Linked DNA regions of Anolis sagrei. The protein of the gene in region 1 purifies or fractionates together with the protein of each later gene. This does not show direct contact. Links are inferred from orthologs where the notes say so. Each region holds a gene or a part of one and is shown in the gene's direction. Other genes may lie near its edges. The genes, in order: EXOSC4, HBS1L and MPHOSPH6.

The links.
Region 2: the proteins of EXOSC4 (region 1) and HBS1L purify together in Homo sapiens (affinity purification with mass spectrometry; 3 studies listed by BioGRID and IntAct, with this or other methods). This does not show direct contact. The link is inferred for Anolis sagrei from reciprocal best matches to the Homo sapiens genes EXOSC4 and HBS1L.
Region 3: the proteins of EXOSC4 (region 1) and MPHOSPH6 purify together in Homo sapiens (affinity purification with mass spectrometry; 7 studies listed by BioGRID and IntAct, with this or other methods). This does not show direct contact. The link is inferred for Anolis sagrei from reciprocal best matches to the Homo sapiens genes EXOSC4 and MPHOSPH6.

The regions. Positions count from the first base shown.
Region 1 is NC_090024.1:2,005,303-2,010,502, forward strand, and holds the start of EXOSC4 (exosome complex component RRP41), read left to right. Parts: upstream 1-1,578; 5' UTR 1,579-1,580; coding exon 1,581-1,754; intron 1,755-3,844; coding exon 3,845-4,051; intron 4,052-5,200. UniProt on the Homo sapiens protein: Non-catalytic component of the RNA exosome complex which has 3'->5' exoribonuclease activity and participates in a multitude of cellular RNA processing and degradation events.
Region 2 is NC_090021.1:80,662,239-80,667,438, forward strand, and holds the start of HBS1L (HBS1-like protein), read left to right. Parts: upstream 1-2,258; 5' UTR 2,259-2,452; coding exon 2,453-2,495; intron 2,496-5,200. UniProt on the Homo sapiens protein: GTPase component of the Pelota-HBS1L complex, a complex that recognizes stalled ribosomes and triggers the No-Go Decay (NGD) pathway.
Region 3 is NC_090028.1:21,294,353-21,299,552, reverse strand, and holds the start of MPHOSPH6 (M-phase phosphoprotein 6), read left to right. Parts: upstream 1-2,233; 5' UTR 2,234-2,326; coding exon 2,327-2,377; intron 2,378-5,200. UniProt on the Homo sapiens protein: RNA-binding protein that associates with the RNA exosome complex. Involved in the 3'-processing of the 7S pre-RNA to the mature 5.8S rRNA and play a role in recruiting the RNA exosome complex to pre-rRNA; this function may include C1D.

The DNA.
Region 1 (5,200 bases):
TGGCATTCGACGAATGAGCCATGACCCTGTGATATGGATGGATGACGACGAATAATGATTTTTGATGACGACTGACCACTGTAATCACATGACTGTATTTTTGCTATTTTAATGTTTTAGTGTGATTTAGAATATGATGTTGTAATGACTGTCTGTAATATTGATGTTGGAAAGCGGTCTGGGTCCCTCGAACGGAGGTGAGAAGACCAATATACAGAACTGCTCAATAAATAATTAAAATAATAAGAATAATTCAGAAGTTGTAATGTTTACAAAGAAGGAAACATCGCTATGGCGCCCCCTCTCGCTACAGGCGCGCCACTGCAGGCCTTGGCTCCTCCCCTTCCTCCTCATTGGCTGTCTTTATGTCCCCGCCCCTTTGCTTCCCCCGCCATTCCTCGTCTCCCTCTCGCTAGAAGCTCCTCCTCCTTATTGGCTCAGTCGCAGAAAAGGGGCGTGGTTATCGTTGCGACCCCGCCCCCTTAATGCTCCTTCCATTTAGGCGCCTCTCTGTGCTCTCTGCTTCAAGCCCCTCCCCTTCTTCCCTATTGGATGGGGAGCAGGGAAGGGGCGTGGTTATCGTTCCGGCCCCGCCCCTTGCTGCTCTCTCCATTCAGGCGCCTTTCTGTGCTCTCTGCTTCAGGCCCCTCCCCTTCTTCCCTATTGGATGGGGAGCAGGGAAGGGGCGTGGTTATCGTTGCGACCCCGCCCCTTGCTGCTCTCTCCATTTGGGCGCCTTTCTGTGCTCTCTGCTTCAGGCCCCTCCCCTTCTTCCCTATTGGATGGGGAGCAGGGAAGGGGCGTGGTTATCCTTAAGTCCCCGCCCCCTAGCTTCACCCGCCAGAGAGGTGCCTTCTCTCTGCTCTCGCTTCAGGCCCCTCCCCTTCTTCCCTATTGGATGGGGAGCAGGAAAGGGGCGTGGTTATCGTTCCGGCCCCGCCCCCTTGCTGCTCCATCCATTCAGGCCCCTCCTCTTCTTCCCTATTGGCCGGGGAGGAGGGAAAAGGGGGCGTGGTTATCCTTCAGGCCCCGCCTCCTTGCTGCTCCCTCGCCATTCAGACGCCTCTCTCTGCTCTAGCTTCAGGCCCCTCCCCTTCCTCCCTATTGGATGGGGAGCAGGGAAGGGGCGTGGTTATCCTTAAGTCCCCGCCCCCTTGCCGCCCCATCCATTCAGGCCCCTCCTCTTCTTCCCTATTGGCTGGGGAGCAGGGAAAGGGGCGTGGTTATCCTTAAGTCCCCGCCCCCTTGCTGATCCCGCCATTCAGGCACTTCTCTCTGCTCTCGCTTCAGGCCCCTCCCCTTCTTCCCTATTGGATGGGGAGCAGGGAAGGGGCGTGGTTATCCTTAAGTCCCCGCCCCCTTGCCGCCCCATCCATTCAGGCCCCTCCTCTTCTTCCCTACTGGCTGGGGAGCAGGGAAAGGGGCGTGGTTATATTTAAGTCCCCGCCCCCTTGCTGATCCCGCCATTCAGGCCCTTCTCTCTGCTCTCTCTTCAGGCCCCTCCCCTTCTTCCCTATTGGTTGTGGAGCAGGGGGTGGGCGTGGCTACCCTTCCTGGTTCCCGCCTTTCTCTTTCCTTGCATGATGGCGGGCCTGGAGCTGCTCTCTGCGCAGGGCTTCCGCGTGGACGGGCGCCGGGCCGGGGAGCTGCGGCAGGTGCGGGCCCGCATGGGGGTCTTCGCCCAGGCAGACGGGTCCGCCTACCTCGAGCAGGGGAACACCAAGGCCCTCGCCGTCGTCTACGGGCCCCACGAGGTAGGAAGGCAGGGGGTGGGTTCCTAGATCTAATCACCTCTCCACAAAAGATTCCCCCAGGCACAGCCAGGCCATCAAATGCTGAGAGGGCTTAGATGGGTTTATAGATCTAATCACCTCTCCACAAAAGATTTCCCCAGGCACAGCCAGGCCATCAAATGCTGAGAGGGCTTAGATGGGTTTATATATCTAATCACCTCTCCACAAAAGATTCCCCCAGGCACAGCCAGGCCATCAAATGCTGAGAGGGCTTAGATGGGTTTATAGATCTAATCACCTCTCCACAAAAGATTTCCCCAGGCACAGCCAGGCCATCAAATGCTGAGAGGGCTTAGATGGGTTTATATATCTAATCACCTCTCCACAAAAGATTTCCCCAGGCACAGCCAGGCCATCAAATGCTGAGAGGGCTTAGATGGGTTTATAGATCTAATCACCTCTCCACAAAAGATTTCCCCAGGCACAGCCAGGCCATCAAATGCTGAGAGGGCTTAGATGGGTTTATATATCTAATCACCTCTCCACAAAAGATTTCCCCAGGCACAGCCAGGCCATCAAATGCTGAGAGGGCTTAGATGGGTTTATAGATCTAATCACCTCTCCACAAAAGATTTCCCCAGGCACAGCCAGGCCATCAAATGCTGAGAGGGCTTAGATGGGTTTATAGATCTAATCACCTCTCCACAAAAGATTTCCCCAGGCACAGCCAGGCCATCAAATGCTGAGAGGGCTTAGATGGGTTTATAGATCTAATCACCTCTCCACAAAAGATTCCCCCAGGCACAGCCAGGCCATCAAATGCTGAGAGGGCTTAGATGGGTTTATAGATCTAATCACCTCTCCACAAAAGATTTCCCCAGGCACAGCCAGGCCATCAAATGCTGAGAGGGCTTAGATGGGTTTATATATCTAATCACCTCTCCACAAAAGATTCCCCCAGGCACAGCCAGGCCATCAAATGCTGAGAGGGCTTAGATGGGTTTATAGATCTAATCACCTCTCCACAAAAGATTCCCCCAGGCACAGCCAGGCCATCAAATGCTGAGAGGGCTTAGATGGGTTTATATATCTAATCACCTCTCCACAAAAGATTCCCCCAGGCACAGCCAGGCCATCAAATGCTGAGAGGGCTTAGATGGGTTTATAGATCTAATCACCTCTCCACAAAAGATTCCCCCAGGCACAGCCAGGCCATCAAATGCTGAGAGGGCTTAGATGGGTTTATATATCTAATCACCTCTCCACAAAAGATTTCCCCGGGCACAGCCAGGTCATCAAATGCTAATCGAGGTGGTCAGTTGAAACGTTCACACCTAGCTCCAGCAGACAAGAGTCCTTTGTCCCACCCTGGTCATTATTCCACAGATGTATAAACCCTAGCTCCAGCAGACAAGAGTCCTTTGTCCCACCCCAGTCATTCTACAGATATATAAACCCTTTTTCCTCGTTCCAACAGACCTCACTACCTCTGAGGATGCTTGCCATAGATGCAGGCGAAACATCAGGAGAGAATGCCTCTAGAACATGGCCATATAGCCCAAAGAAACCTACAACAACCCAGTGATTCCAGCCATGAAAGCCTTCGACAATGACATCTAATCACCTCTCAACAAAAGATTCCCCCAGGCACAGCCAGGCCATCATATGCTGAGAGGGCTTAGATGGGTTTATATATCTAATCACCTCTCAACAAAGGATTCCCCCAGGCACTCCGAGGCCATTATATGCCAATCAAGGTGGTCAGTTGAAACATTCACACCTAGCTCCAGCAGACAAGAGTCCTTTGTCCCACCCTGCTCATTATTCCACATATATATAAACCCTTTTTCCTAGTTCCAACAGACCTCACTACCTCTGAGGATGCTTGCCATAGATGCAGGCGAAATGTCAGGAGAGAATGCCACTAGACCATGGCCTCTGTGCCTGTTCAAAAGATTCCACATCACTTTCAGTTCCTGTGAGAATGGGATTTTGAAACATTTAGTTTATTGTGGAAACAAGGGTGGGAGGTATTTCCTGGGTGAGGAGGGCAGGCTAGATGACCCCCAGAGGCCCCTGGACTACCCCCGTCTCCTTCCTCTTTCCTGCAGACGCGGGGCTCGCGGTCCAAGGCGCTGCACGACCAGGCGGTGGTCAACTGCCAGTTCAGCCTGGCCACCTTCAGCACCGGAGAGCGCAAGCGGCGGCCCCACGGTGACCGGCAGACCTCCGAGATGAGCCTCCACCTCAAGCAGACCTTCGAGGCCGCCATCCTCACCCAGCTCTACCCTCGCTCCCAGATCGACATCTACGTCCAGGTGGGTGACCGGTAGGTTTCCATGCACCCCCTTGGAAACAGTCATCTAGGAGTCTTTGCAGACCCCAAGCAGAACGTGAGCCAAGAGAGTGATGCGGCAGCTCAAAAGGCCAATGCCATTCTAGGCTGCATCAGGAAGAGTTTAAAAATGAAATAGGTATAGAATGGGTGACCCCTGAAGGGACCCCAAAGGCCATCCAGTCCAACCCCTTTCTGCCAGAAAGGAAGACACCATTGGAATATGAAAACAGTATCTAAGAGTCTCAGGAGAAGACAAGCTGAACTTTTTTCTTCTCTTTTGTCATTTACACAATCAAATAAAATTATATTTTTAAAAATCAGTGGAATTCTGTGTTGGAGGCTTTTAAACAGAAGCTGGATGGCCACCTTTCTGGGAGGCTCTGATTGTGCTTTTCCTGCATGGCAGGAGGGGGTTGGAATGCATGGCTTTTGCAGTCTCTTCCAACTCTATCATTATGATTATTTTACCATTTTTCTCCTTCGCATTTGGCCCAGCTCGCCCCTATTTAATTCTTCTATCACTTTATTATGTTATTGTCACTGTTTTATTGCATTGCTATGTTATTGTTAAGCATTTTATTTGATGTTTTGTCTCTTTCATATGCATTTTATTTTGCCTTATTGCAATTACTTGGCCTTGGCCTCATGTTAGCCGCCCCAAGTCCCTTTGGGAAGATGGTGATGGGGCATACATAAAGTTTATTATTACTATTGTTGTTGTTGATAGCCATCTGTCGGGGTGTTTTGATTGTGTTCTTCGTGCATTACAGAAGTAGGTGGTCCTTGCAGGCTCTTCCAACTCTATAATAATTATTGTTATTATTATTATTATTGTTGTTATTATTATTACTATTAGTACTATTATGGTTGATGGCCATCTGTTGATTGTGCTTTTCCTGCATGAAGGCAGAAGAGGTTGGACTGGATGGCCCATGCGGTCTCTTCCAACTCTATAATTGTTGTTGTTGTCATTATGATTGATGGCCATCTGCCAGAGGTGCTTTAATTGTGCTTTTCCGGCATGAAGGCAGAAGGGGTTGGACTGGATTGTCCATGTGGTCTCTTCCATCTCTAAAATAATAATAATAATTGTTGTTGTTATTATTATTATTATGGTTGATGGCCATCT
Region 2 (5,200 bases), on another chromosome or scaffold:
ATTTGTGTTTCTATGCAGTTGTAGGTCTAATTATGCATCTACTTCTTGAATACCAACATTTTGATCTTGCCATCTCAGATGAATTTGAAAATATTGGAACCAGGAAATCAAGTGTCCGTTGCTTTGGAGTTGAGTGCCCATCACCTTCTGAGGTAGTCTATCTATATACTTCCATATGGTGGCTGATCTAGTCCTGAATGTGGTTTAATCCCCTCTAGCATTTTCATTTGTATCATGAATGGTATGTGTACCAGTTTGGTACAAATCCATCAAGCCACGGAGAAGCCTTTGTGGAACAAACAAACAAATATTTTCACTTGTATGTGTGTAAAGCTAAATAAACATTCATAAAAGCTCTTGCAGCTGTACAGAATATCACTCATAGTGTAATTCTAGTCATAGCTACCCACAACTAAGCCCAGTGGGCATTATTCTCAGGGAAAATGTTGCAGAAATAACAATACAGGCAAACCTCAGTTAACATATCCTCTAGCAAAGAATCTTCTCTAAAATTATTTTATTTCTTCCTCTGGTATTAAATTTTCTGATAAAGAGGTATACCCAAGAACACATCTGTTCTGTTAACTGAGGTATAAGGAGTCTTCAAGTTATGAACAAAATAGGTTCTGTAAGTTTGTTCTTAAATTGAAATTGTAAGTCAGAACAGGCACATTTTTTAAATGTACCTTCATCTCTCTCTCTCTGTTTTGAATTGGGTTATCTGAGGGCCCTTCCACACAGCCCTATATTCCAGAATATCAAGGGACAACATCCCACAATATCTGTTTTGAACTGGGTTATCTGAGTCCATACTCAGATGTTGGATTTTCTCCGTTGATATTCTGGGGATATAGGGCTGTGTTGAAGTGGCCTGTGTGCCTTCCCTGAATAAGGAAATAATTCCCAGCAAAATGTCCCCAGAAGCACTTTAACTACCCGTTGGGTTGCTCTCCCTTCATTTCTTTTAAACCCCTCATACCAGATACATCCTACCTCTGTTCATGCCCAGCGTTTATTTTTTAAATTTTAAACTATTACATTTGGCCTGGCCATAGGTTTTCTAAATCCTTGCGTGTTATTGTTTATATGTCAGTTATATTAATTGTATTGTTTTATTTGTTTATCGCTTTTTGTTTTATTGATGTGTTGTCTGGCTTGGCCTCATGTAAGCCGCTCTGAGTCCCCTTGGGGAAATGGTATAAATAAAGTTTTATCATTTATTTATTTATTATTTAAAACATTTATATCCGCCCTTCTCATTCCGAAAACAAACATTCAATGCCTGGATACAATACATAAACATTAAAAAACATTTATCGAAATATTAAAATACACCATTTAAAATAACACCATTTAAAACCGTCCTAGCCATCCGCATCAAATCCAATTGGCCCTGTTATCTTTCCAATTGCCGCTTCATTGCCCTGTCCCGAAAGCTTGGTCCAACAGCCAAGTTTTTACCATCCTTCTAAAGGACAGGAGGGAGGGATCCGACCTGATCTCACCAGGAAGGGAGTTCCATAGCCGGGGAGCAAACACCGAGGCGGCCCTGTCTCTCGTCCCCACCAATCGCGCCTGTGACAATGGCAGGATGGAAAGCAGGGCCTCCCCGGAGGATCTTAATCTCTGTGATGGTTACTAGCTTGGAGACCCGCCACTGCCCGGATTATTTGAGAAAGTGGGTAATGGTGGTTCTGTATGGCAAGTTTGGTCTTTATTGCTCAATGGATGATAGTTGCATTGTTTTCAGGAAGTGAGTGAAGGTACTTGAAGTCCCATCATCCATGGCCCACCCTCCAGCTAACATTATTTATTAAGAGTCCACACTGCCATATATTCCAAAAGCAGAAAATGTGAGATTTTATTCAGCTGTGTGGGAAGGATCTCAGTTTTACAGGCCTGTGTTAATTACCATCAAGCTGAGCGTATATGAAACATAAATGACCCAGGAATACGCCTCGTTTCCACTGACAGGCCTAGTCAACAAAACGTTCCTGGCCTTTCTTCCAAGCAAAGACACCCAACCTGTCAAACGAGGGCAGCTTTCGAGCGTCGACGGCCTGCGCGGTGATTGGCCGCCTGGCGCCAAGCGATTGGACATTTCCTCTGACGTAGCACATGGCCGGCGCCAGCAAACAAGGACCACGCTCTCTAGGGGCGGTGCCGTGTGTAGCTGCGCGCGAGCGCGCGCGCCCCCCAACCAGCCGTTGAAACGTCTCGAGGGCGCCGCGCATGCGCGCTCGAGCCCGAAAGGAAAACGCACGCGCGCCAAAGAGCATGCGTGGGAAGCCTGTCGCGGTAGAGGCTGGGAGGCGGGGCGTCGCTCGGTAGGCCCAAGCCGAGAAACATGGCGACTCGAAGGCGTTCTAGGTGCCCACCCTTAGGGCTGTGAGAAGGCCTACCTACCTACCACCTCGCCTCTCTACCTCAGGCCTTCATCGGCTTGCTCGCCATGGCCCGGCATAGGAACGTGCGTGGCTATAACTACGACGAAGGTAGAGAGGACTCCCCTCACAGTTCCTTTCTGCTCTTTCCTCCTTCGGGAGCCTTTTGAGAGGCGTGTCAGTGACGTCACCTGGGATCGGTTTAGATATGCTTCGGGTAGGGGGGGGGAGAGAAAGCGGGGGTTGGGCCGAACCATGGCGGGCGGGGGTGGGGGGGGGAAGGGGACGGTTTGAGAAGGTGGGCGCCCGCTTCTCATGAGTTATCCCTCCAATTATGGAACAATGGTTTGGTCCAAGCGGGTTGGAACCCCATAGCTGGCCTTGACAGGGGTGTGGCCATTTTGAACCTGGCCTGTTTTGGGAGATTTGGTTCCTAATAGAGGTTGAGGCGATGGGTGGTGCATCTCTGGAATAAATGCACTTGGACACCATTTTTAACTACCTTAACCCTGGGATATGTAGTGTGGTGAGGCACCAGCAGTCTTTGGCAGAGAAACCCATATTATTTGGGTTGTTGTAGGTTTTTTCGGGCTATAGGGCCATGTTCTAGAGGCATTCTCTCCTGACGTTTCGCCTGCATCTATGACAAGCATCCTCAAAGGACCTCACTACCTCTGAGGATGCTTGCCATAGATGCAGGCGAAACGTCAGGAGAGAATGCCTCTAGAACATGGCCATACAGCCCGACAAAACCTACAACAACCCAGTGATTCTGGCCATGAAAGCCTTCGACAACCCATATTATTTATTTATTTACTGTATTTGTATACCACCTTTTTCAGCCTGTCGGCGACTCAAGGCAGTTTACAAATCAGTAAACATAATATCATAATATAGGTTAAAATATTACAACAATATAAAACACATCAGAAGCAATTAAAAAAACATCATTAGCGTCTCCTTATAAAAATTGTCCAATTTCATCGTCGAGGCATTCGATTTCCTATATCAGTTACTCTGCATGTGTAAACGCATGCTCAACCATGTTTTCACTTGTTTTTATTCCGCCCTTTTCACCCTAAAAGGGCACTCAGGGCGGCCTTACAGCAGGCAGCGATTCAATGCCAATACATATAAAAATAAACAAATATAATTAAAACCATAGAATTAAATGTTAATTATTAAAACATAAGTTAAAACCACGCAATTGAGATTGTAGTCCAAGGCCTGTCCAATTTCAATTCCATTAGTTCGGGGTTTTTTTTTCTGTGATAGGAGCAACTTGAGAAACTGCAAGTTGCTTCTGGAGTGAGAGAATTGGCTGTCTGCAAGGACGTTGCCCATGGAACGCCAGGATGTTTTTTGATGTTTTACCATCCTTGTGGGAAGCTTCTGTCATGTCCCTGCATGGGGAGCTGGAGCTGACAGAGGGAGCTTATCCGCGCTCTCCCCGGATTCAAACCTGCGACCTGTCAGTCTTTAGTTCTGCCAGCACAAGGGTTTAACCCAGTCCGTTAACCATATTGCACTATTTATCGAGTGAATGTTTTGTCCCACAGCCACATCTTAAGCTTCTTCCTGAAAGACAGAAGGGAGAGAGCTGATTTGATTTCATTGGGGAGGGAGTTCCATAGACGAGCAGCCACCACTGAGAAGGCCCTGTCGTCCCCACTAATCGCGGTTGCAAAGGTGGTGGGATCAAGAGCAGGGCTTCCTCAGATGATCTTAACTTTTGAAGTGGATAATAGAGGGAGATATGTGAAGACAGGTAAGCTGGGCTAGAACAGTTTAGGGCTTTACAGGCTAAAGGCAGCACTTTGAATTGTGCTTGGTAGCAGACTGGCAGCCAGTGGAGCTGATGTAACAGGGGGTTGTGTGCTCCCTGTACGGCGCTCCAGTGAGCAATCAGGCTGCTTCCTGTTGGACTAATTGAAGCTTCCAAACAGTCTACAAAGGCAACTCCACATAGAGCGCGTTGCAGTATCTAGTCAGGATGTAAAAAGTGTGGACTACCGTGGCCAAGTCTGACTTCCCATACAGCAGGCATGGGCAAACTTCAGCCCTCCAGGTGTTTAGCACTTCAACTCCCACAATTCATAGCAGCCCGTATAGCTCATAAAACTTCCAGGGTCCCAAAGTATTGAGTCATGGCAGTGAAAGTGCTGTCCAACTGCATTAATTCTGCTGTGTGGATGCACTCTGTGTGACTCAATGGACACTGGGAGAACAGGGTTCAAAACCCCACTCGGCATGGGTGACCCTTGGCAAAAGCATACACTTTCAGCCACAGAAACCCTTAATTGCATAGCCATATGTCAGAAGTGGCTTGAAAGCACACAACAACAACAACAACAATAGGTCACAAATCCCTTATCTAAAATTCTTTGAACCATAAATGGTTTTGGATTTTGAAATACTTGCATTTATGTAAGGAGATGTTTCGAAAATGAGACCAAAGTCAGTACTCAAAATTCATCTACATTTCATATACACTTTATACACACCCTCTTTAACGTTCTTTTATAATGTATTTGTAATATTTTTGTAATAATTTTGTGCCTGAAACAAAGTTTGTGCATGGTGAATCATTAGAAAGCAAAGGCACCACTATTACAGCCACCAATCTGGACGACTTTGATTTGGGAACATTTCAAATTCCAGATAAGGGACACTTGTACTGATGGTCACTAAGGCTTTTCTTTAAAGCACCAAATGTTAAACATAGGATATTCTACCTGGGCCCACTGATTAGAGACAGCACATCTGTTGTGTGGCACTAGAGCGAAAAAGGGCATTGATGTTAGGTCATGCTAGGC
Region 3 (5,200 bases), on another chromosome or scaffold:
ATTTCAATAGGTATAGTTTGTATGTTGTGTTTTCTCATCGGCTTCCCTATGCGGTCAATGGTTCCCTTGATGTATGGCAAGAACACTTTTCCTCTGGGTGGATCTTCATCTTTACTCTCATGGCTTGTTCTTGGTCTTGCAGCTCTTCTGATGTCTGAGGTGGAGTCTCCATTGGCCTGGAGAGCGCAGTTGAGGTGGTTCAGTTCATCTTGGAGGAGGTGGGGTTCGCAGATTCTTTTTGCACGGTCTACCAAGGCTTTAATGGTGCTTCTTTTTTGACTTGGGTGATGGTTGGAGTTTTTATGTAGATATCTATCTGTGTGTGTGGGTTTTCTGTGGACGGTGTGACCCAATTGTTGATCTGGTTTGCGGATGACTAGGACATCTAGAAAAGACAGTCTTCTTTCATTTTCTTTTTCTATAGTGAATTGGATATTTGGGTGGATGCTGTTCAGATGGTCCAGGAACCTGTTGAGTTCTTCTTCTCCGTGGCTCCAAATGGTGAAAGTGTCATCCACATATCTGAACCATATCGTGGGCTTTTTTGTTGCTGTCTCCAGGGCTTGTTTTTCAAAGTGTTCCATGTAGAAATTAGCTATGACCGGGCTGAGAGGGCTCCCCATAGCTACTCCATCTTTCTGTTCGTAGAATTCATTGTTTCACCATTGCCTCACCATCAGCTACTTTCAGTGGGACAATGAAGTCTATGAAGGAAGACTGCCTTTTCAAGATGTCCTAGTCATCCGCAAACCAGATCAACAATTGGGTGTACAGAGAATAACAATTAAGATCCACCCAGAGGAAAAGTGTTCTTGCCATACATCAAGGGAACCACTGACCGCATAGGGAAGCTGATGAGGAAACACAACATACAAACTATCTACAGACCCACCAAGAAAATTCAACAAATGCTACGTTCAGCAAAGGACAAGAAGGATCCTCTCACCTCTGCAGGAGTCTACCGTATACCATGCAGCTGTGGACAAGTCTACATAGGGACCACCAAACGCAGCAATGCCCAAACACGAATCAAGGAACATGAAAGGCACTGCAGACTACTCCAACCAGAGAAATCAGCCATAGCAGAGCACCTGATGAACCAACCTGGACACAGCAGATTATTTGAGAACACAGAAATGCTGGACCACTCCAACAACCACCATGCCAGACTACACAGAGAAGCCATTGAAATCCACAAGCATGTGGACAATTTCAACAGAAAGGAAGAAACCATGAAAATGAACAAAATCTGGCCACCAGTATTAAAAAACTCAAAAATTGCAACAGCAAAACAAGTAAACAGAGTAAACAATCAGGCAAATCAAATCACTCTCAACAAAAGATTCCCCCCAGGCACTTCCAAGCCATTAAATGCTAATCAAGGTGGTCAGTTGAAACATTCACACCTAGCTCCAGCAGACAAAAGTCCTTTGTCTCACCCTGGTATTTCCACAGATATATAAACCCATTTTCCTACTTCCAACAGACCTCACTACCTCTGAGGATGCTTGCCATAGATGCAGGCGAAACGTCAGGAGAAAATGCCTCTAGAACATGCCTCTACAACAACCCAGTGATTCCGGCCATGAAAGCCTTCGACAATACCTTGTAGTTTTGCTGCCTGGACTCAATGCCAAGGAATCTTGGGATTTGGAGTTTGGTGAGCCACCAGCACTCTGTGGTAGCGAAGGCTAAAAGGCCTGTAAAGCTACAACTCCCACAATGTATTGTCGAAGGCATTCATGGCTGGAATCAATAGGTTCTTGTGGGGTTTTTTTGGGCTATATGGCCATATTCTAGAGGCATTTTCTCCTGACGTTTCACCAGCATCTATGGCAAGCATCCTCAGAGGTAGTGAGGTCTGTTTGGAACTAGGACAATGGGTTAATATATCTGTGGAATGACTGGGGTGGGGCAAAGAGCTCTTCTCTGCTGGAGCTGGGTGAGAATGTTTCAACTGACCACCTTCATTAGCAATTGAAGGGAGAATCTTTTGTTGAGAGGTGTGAAGCTGTGCTTGGTTGTTTCCTCTCTGCTGTTTTGCTGTTGTCATTTTTGAGTTTTTTAACTCCCACAATCCTTGAGTCACGGCAGTCAAAGTGCATTAATCCAGCAGTGTAGGGCATGTCTAGTTAAAGCTTATGCGCATGCTCCCTGCCAGGTTCTGAAAGGGCCGGAAGAGCAGCTTCACTGCCTGTAACTGAGCATGCGTACGATTGACGCACCCCGGGCATGCGCAGTCGCAAGAGAGGCGAAGGCGAGTCTGAAGAGACGCCGCGCCGCCACGTGACGAGTCCAGGCGGGCCCTCCACACCTTCTTTCGGCCATGGCTCGCGACGTGAAGAGCAAACTGTCCAAAAACCTTCTCCGCATGAAGGTAATGGGGCGGCGGGAGGGGGAGAAAGAACCGGTTTCATGGCCCTTTCGGGAGTGGGCGGGGTCTAGGCGGCTCTTCCCGAGCGGCTTCGGCAAGCGTCGGCTAGCCCCTCCCACTTCCGAAGCCCTTCGGCCGCAGGAGGCGAGGTGCGGGGAGAGGAGCCGAGTGGTCTCGGGAAGAGTCGCTAGGCCCCTCCCACTTAAAGCCCTACATCAGTGGTTCTCAACCTTCCTAATGCCGTGACCCCTTAATACAGTCCCTCATGTTGTGGTGACCCCCAACCATAATATTGTTTTCAATGCTACTTCGTAACAATCATTTTACTACTGTTATAAATCATAATGTAAATATCAGATATGCAGGGTGCATTTTCATTCACTGGACCAAACTGGCCACAAATACCCAATACACCCAAATGTGAATGCTAGTAAGGTTGGGGGAGGATTGATTTTGTAATTTGGGAGTTGTGTTGTTGTTCATTCGTTCAGTCGTCTCCGACTCTTTGTGACCTCATGGACCAGCCCACGCCAGAAACAGACATAGAATCATAAAAACAGACATAGAATAATAGAATCAAAGAGTTGGAAGAGACCTCATGGGCCATCCAGTCCAACCCCCTGCCAAGAAGCAGGAATATTGCATTCAAATCACCCCTGACAGATGGCCATCCAGTCTCTGTTTAAAAGCTTCCAAAGAAGGAGCCTCCACCACACTCCGGGGCAGAGAGTTCCACTGCTGAACAGCTCTCACAGTCAGGAAGTTCTTCCTCGTGTTCAGATGGACTCTCCTTTCTTGTAGTTTGAAGCCATTGTTCCGCGTCCTAGTCTCCAGGGAAGCAGAAAACAAGCTTGCTCCCTCCTCCCTGTGGCTTCCTCTCACATATTTATACATGGCTATCATATCTGCTCTCAGCCTTCTCTTCTTCAGGCTAAACATGCCCAGCTCCTTAAGCCGCTCCTCATAGGGCTTGTTCTCCAGACCCTTGATCATTTTAGTTGCCCTCCTCTGGACACATTCCAGCTTGTCAATATCTCTCTTGAATTGTGGTGCCCAGAATTGGACACAATATTCCAGGTGTGGTCTAACCAAAGCAGAATAGAGGGGTAGCATGACTTCCCTAGATCTAGACACTATGCTCCTATTGATGCAGGCCAAAATCCCATTGGCTTTTTTTGCCGCCGCATCACATTGTTGGCTCATGTTTAACTTGTTGTCCACGAGGACTCCAAGATCTTTTTCACACGTACTGCTCTCAAGCCAGGCATTGTCCCCCATTCTGTATCTTTGCATTTCGTTTTTCCTGCCTAAGTGGAGTACCTTGCATTGGTTCCTGTTGAACTTCATTTTGTTAGTTTTGGCCCATCTCTCTAATCTGTCAAGATCGTTTTGAATCCTGCTCCTGTCCTCTAGAGTATTGGCTAAGGTAAAGGTAAAGGTAGTCCCCTGACATTAAGTCCAGTCATGTCTGGCTCTGGGGTGCGGTGCTCATCTCCATTTCTAAGCCGAAGAGCCAGCGTTGTCCGTAGACACCTCCAAGGTCTTGTGGCCAGCATGACTGCATGGAGCGCCGTTACCTTCCCGCCGGAGCGGTACCTATTGATCTACTCACATTTGCATGTTTTCGAACTGCTAGGTTGGCAGAAGCTAGGGCTGACAGCGGAAGCTCACGCCGCTCCCCGGAATCAAACCTGCGACCTTTCGATCAACAAGCTCAGCAGCTCAGTGCTTTAACCCACTGCACCACCGGGGGCACCAGAGTATTGGCTATCCCTCCCAATTTGGTGTCGTCTGCAAACTTGATGATCCTGCCTTCTAGCCCTTCATCTAAGTCATTAATAAAGATGTTGAACAGGACCGGGCCCAGGACAGAACCCTGCTGATGGCACTCCACTTGTCACTTCTTTCCAGGATGAAGAGGAAGCATTGGTGAGCACCCTTTGGGTTCGTCCATTTAACCAATTACAGATCCACCTCACTGTAGTTTTGCCTAGCCCACATTGGACTAGTTTGTTTGCCAGAAGGTCATGGGGGACCTTGTTGAAGGCCTTACTGAAATCCAGGTACGCTACATCCACAGCATTCCCCGCATCTATCCAGCTTGTAACTCTATCGAAAAAAGAGATCAGATTAGTCTGGCATGACTTGTTTTTGATAAATCCATGTTGACTATTAGCGATGACCGCATTTGTTTCTAAGTGTTTGCAGACCACTTCCTTAACAATCTTTTCCAGAATCTTGCCTGGTATCGACGTGAGGCTGACTGGACGGTAATTGTTTGGGTCATCCTTTTTCATCATCATCATCATGTTCCTCATGGGACATACTTCTTACCAGCACAATCAAATTCTCCTCTTCCTTTACATTTTAGCTTAAGATGTTTACTTCAGACCAAAGGTCGTCCTTGTTTTAATTGGAACTAAAGGTCGTTCTTATTTTGGCCAAGTTTTGCCTCCACTTCCAATGGCAGGACCTGCCAATGTGCTAATGTTACTTGTGGTTTCCTCGTCTCATTTAATTTCTCCCTCTCTGCTCCAACCCATCAGCGTAGTCACGTGGAGATGGTCCAGCGAGAGATATTAACAAGAGCCCTGACCTCACCATTGCCCTTGGATTTGCAAATCCGGTGCTGAGCCCAAAGTGGAATTAGTCTCGGCTCGGCGGTTAATGGACTCCGTTCCTGTCCTATAATGTAACACATCACTCAGTGGAAGAACGCAGTGGCGAGATTGATGATCGCTCCGTTTTCTCAGAGAACAACATCTGAGTCGAGATTGCCATTAATTTTTTAAAATATAAATATTCATTAAATATGTATAACTCAAT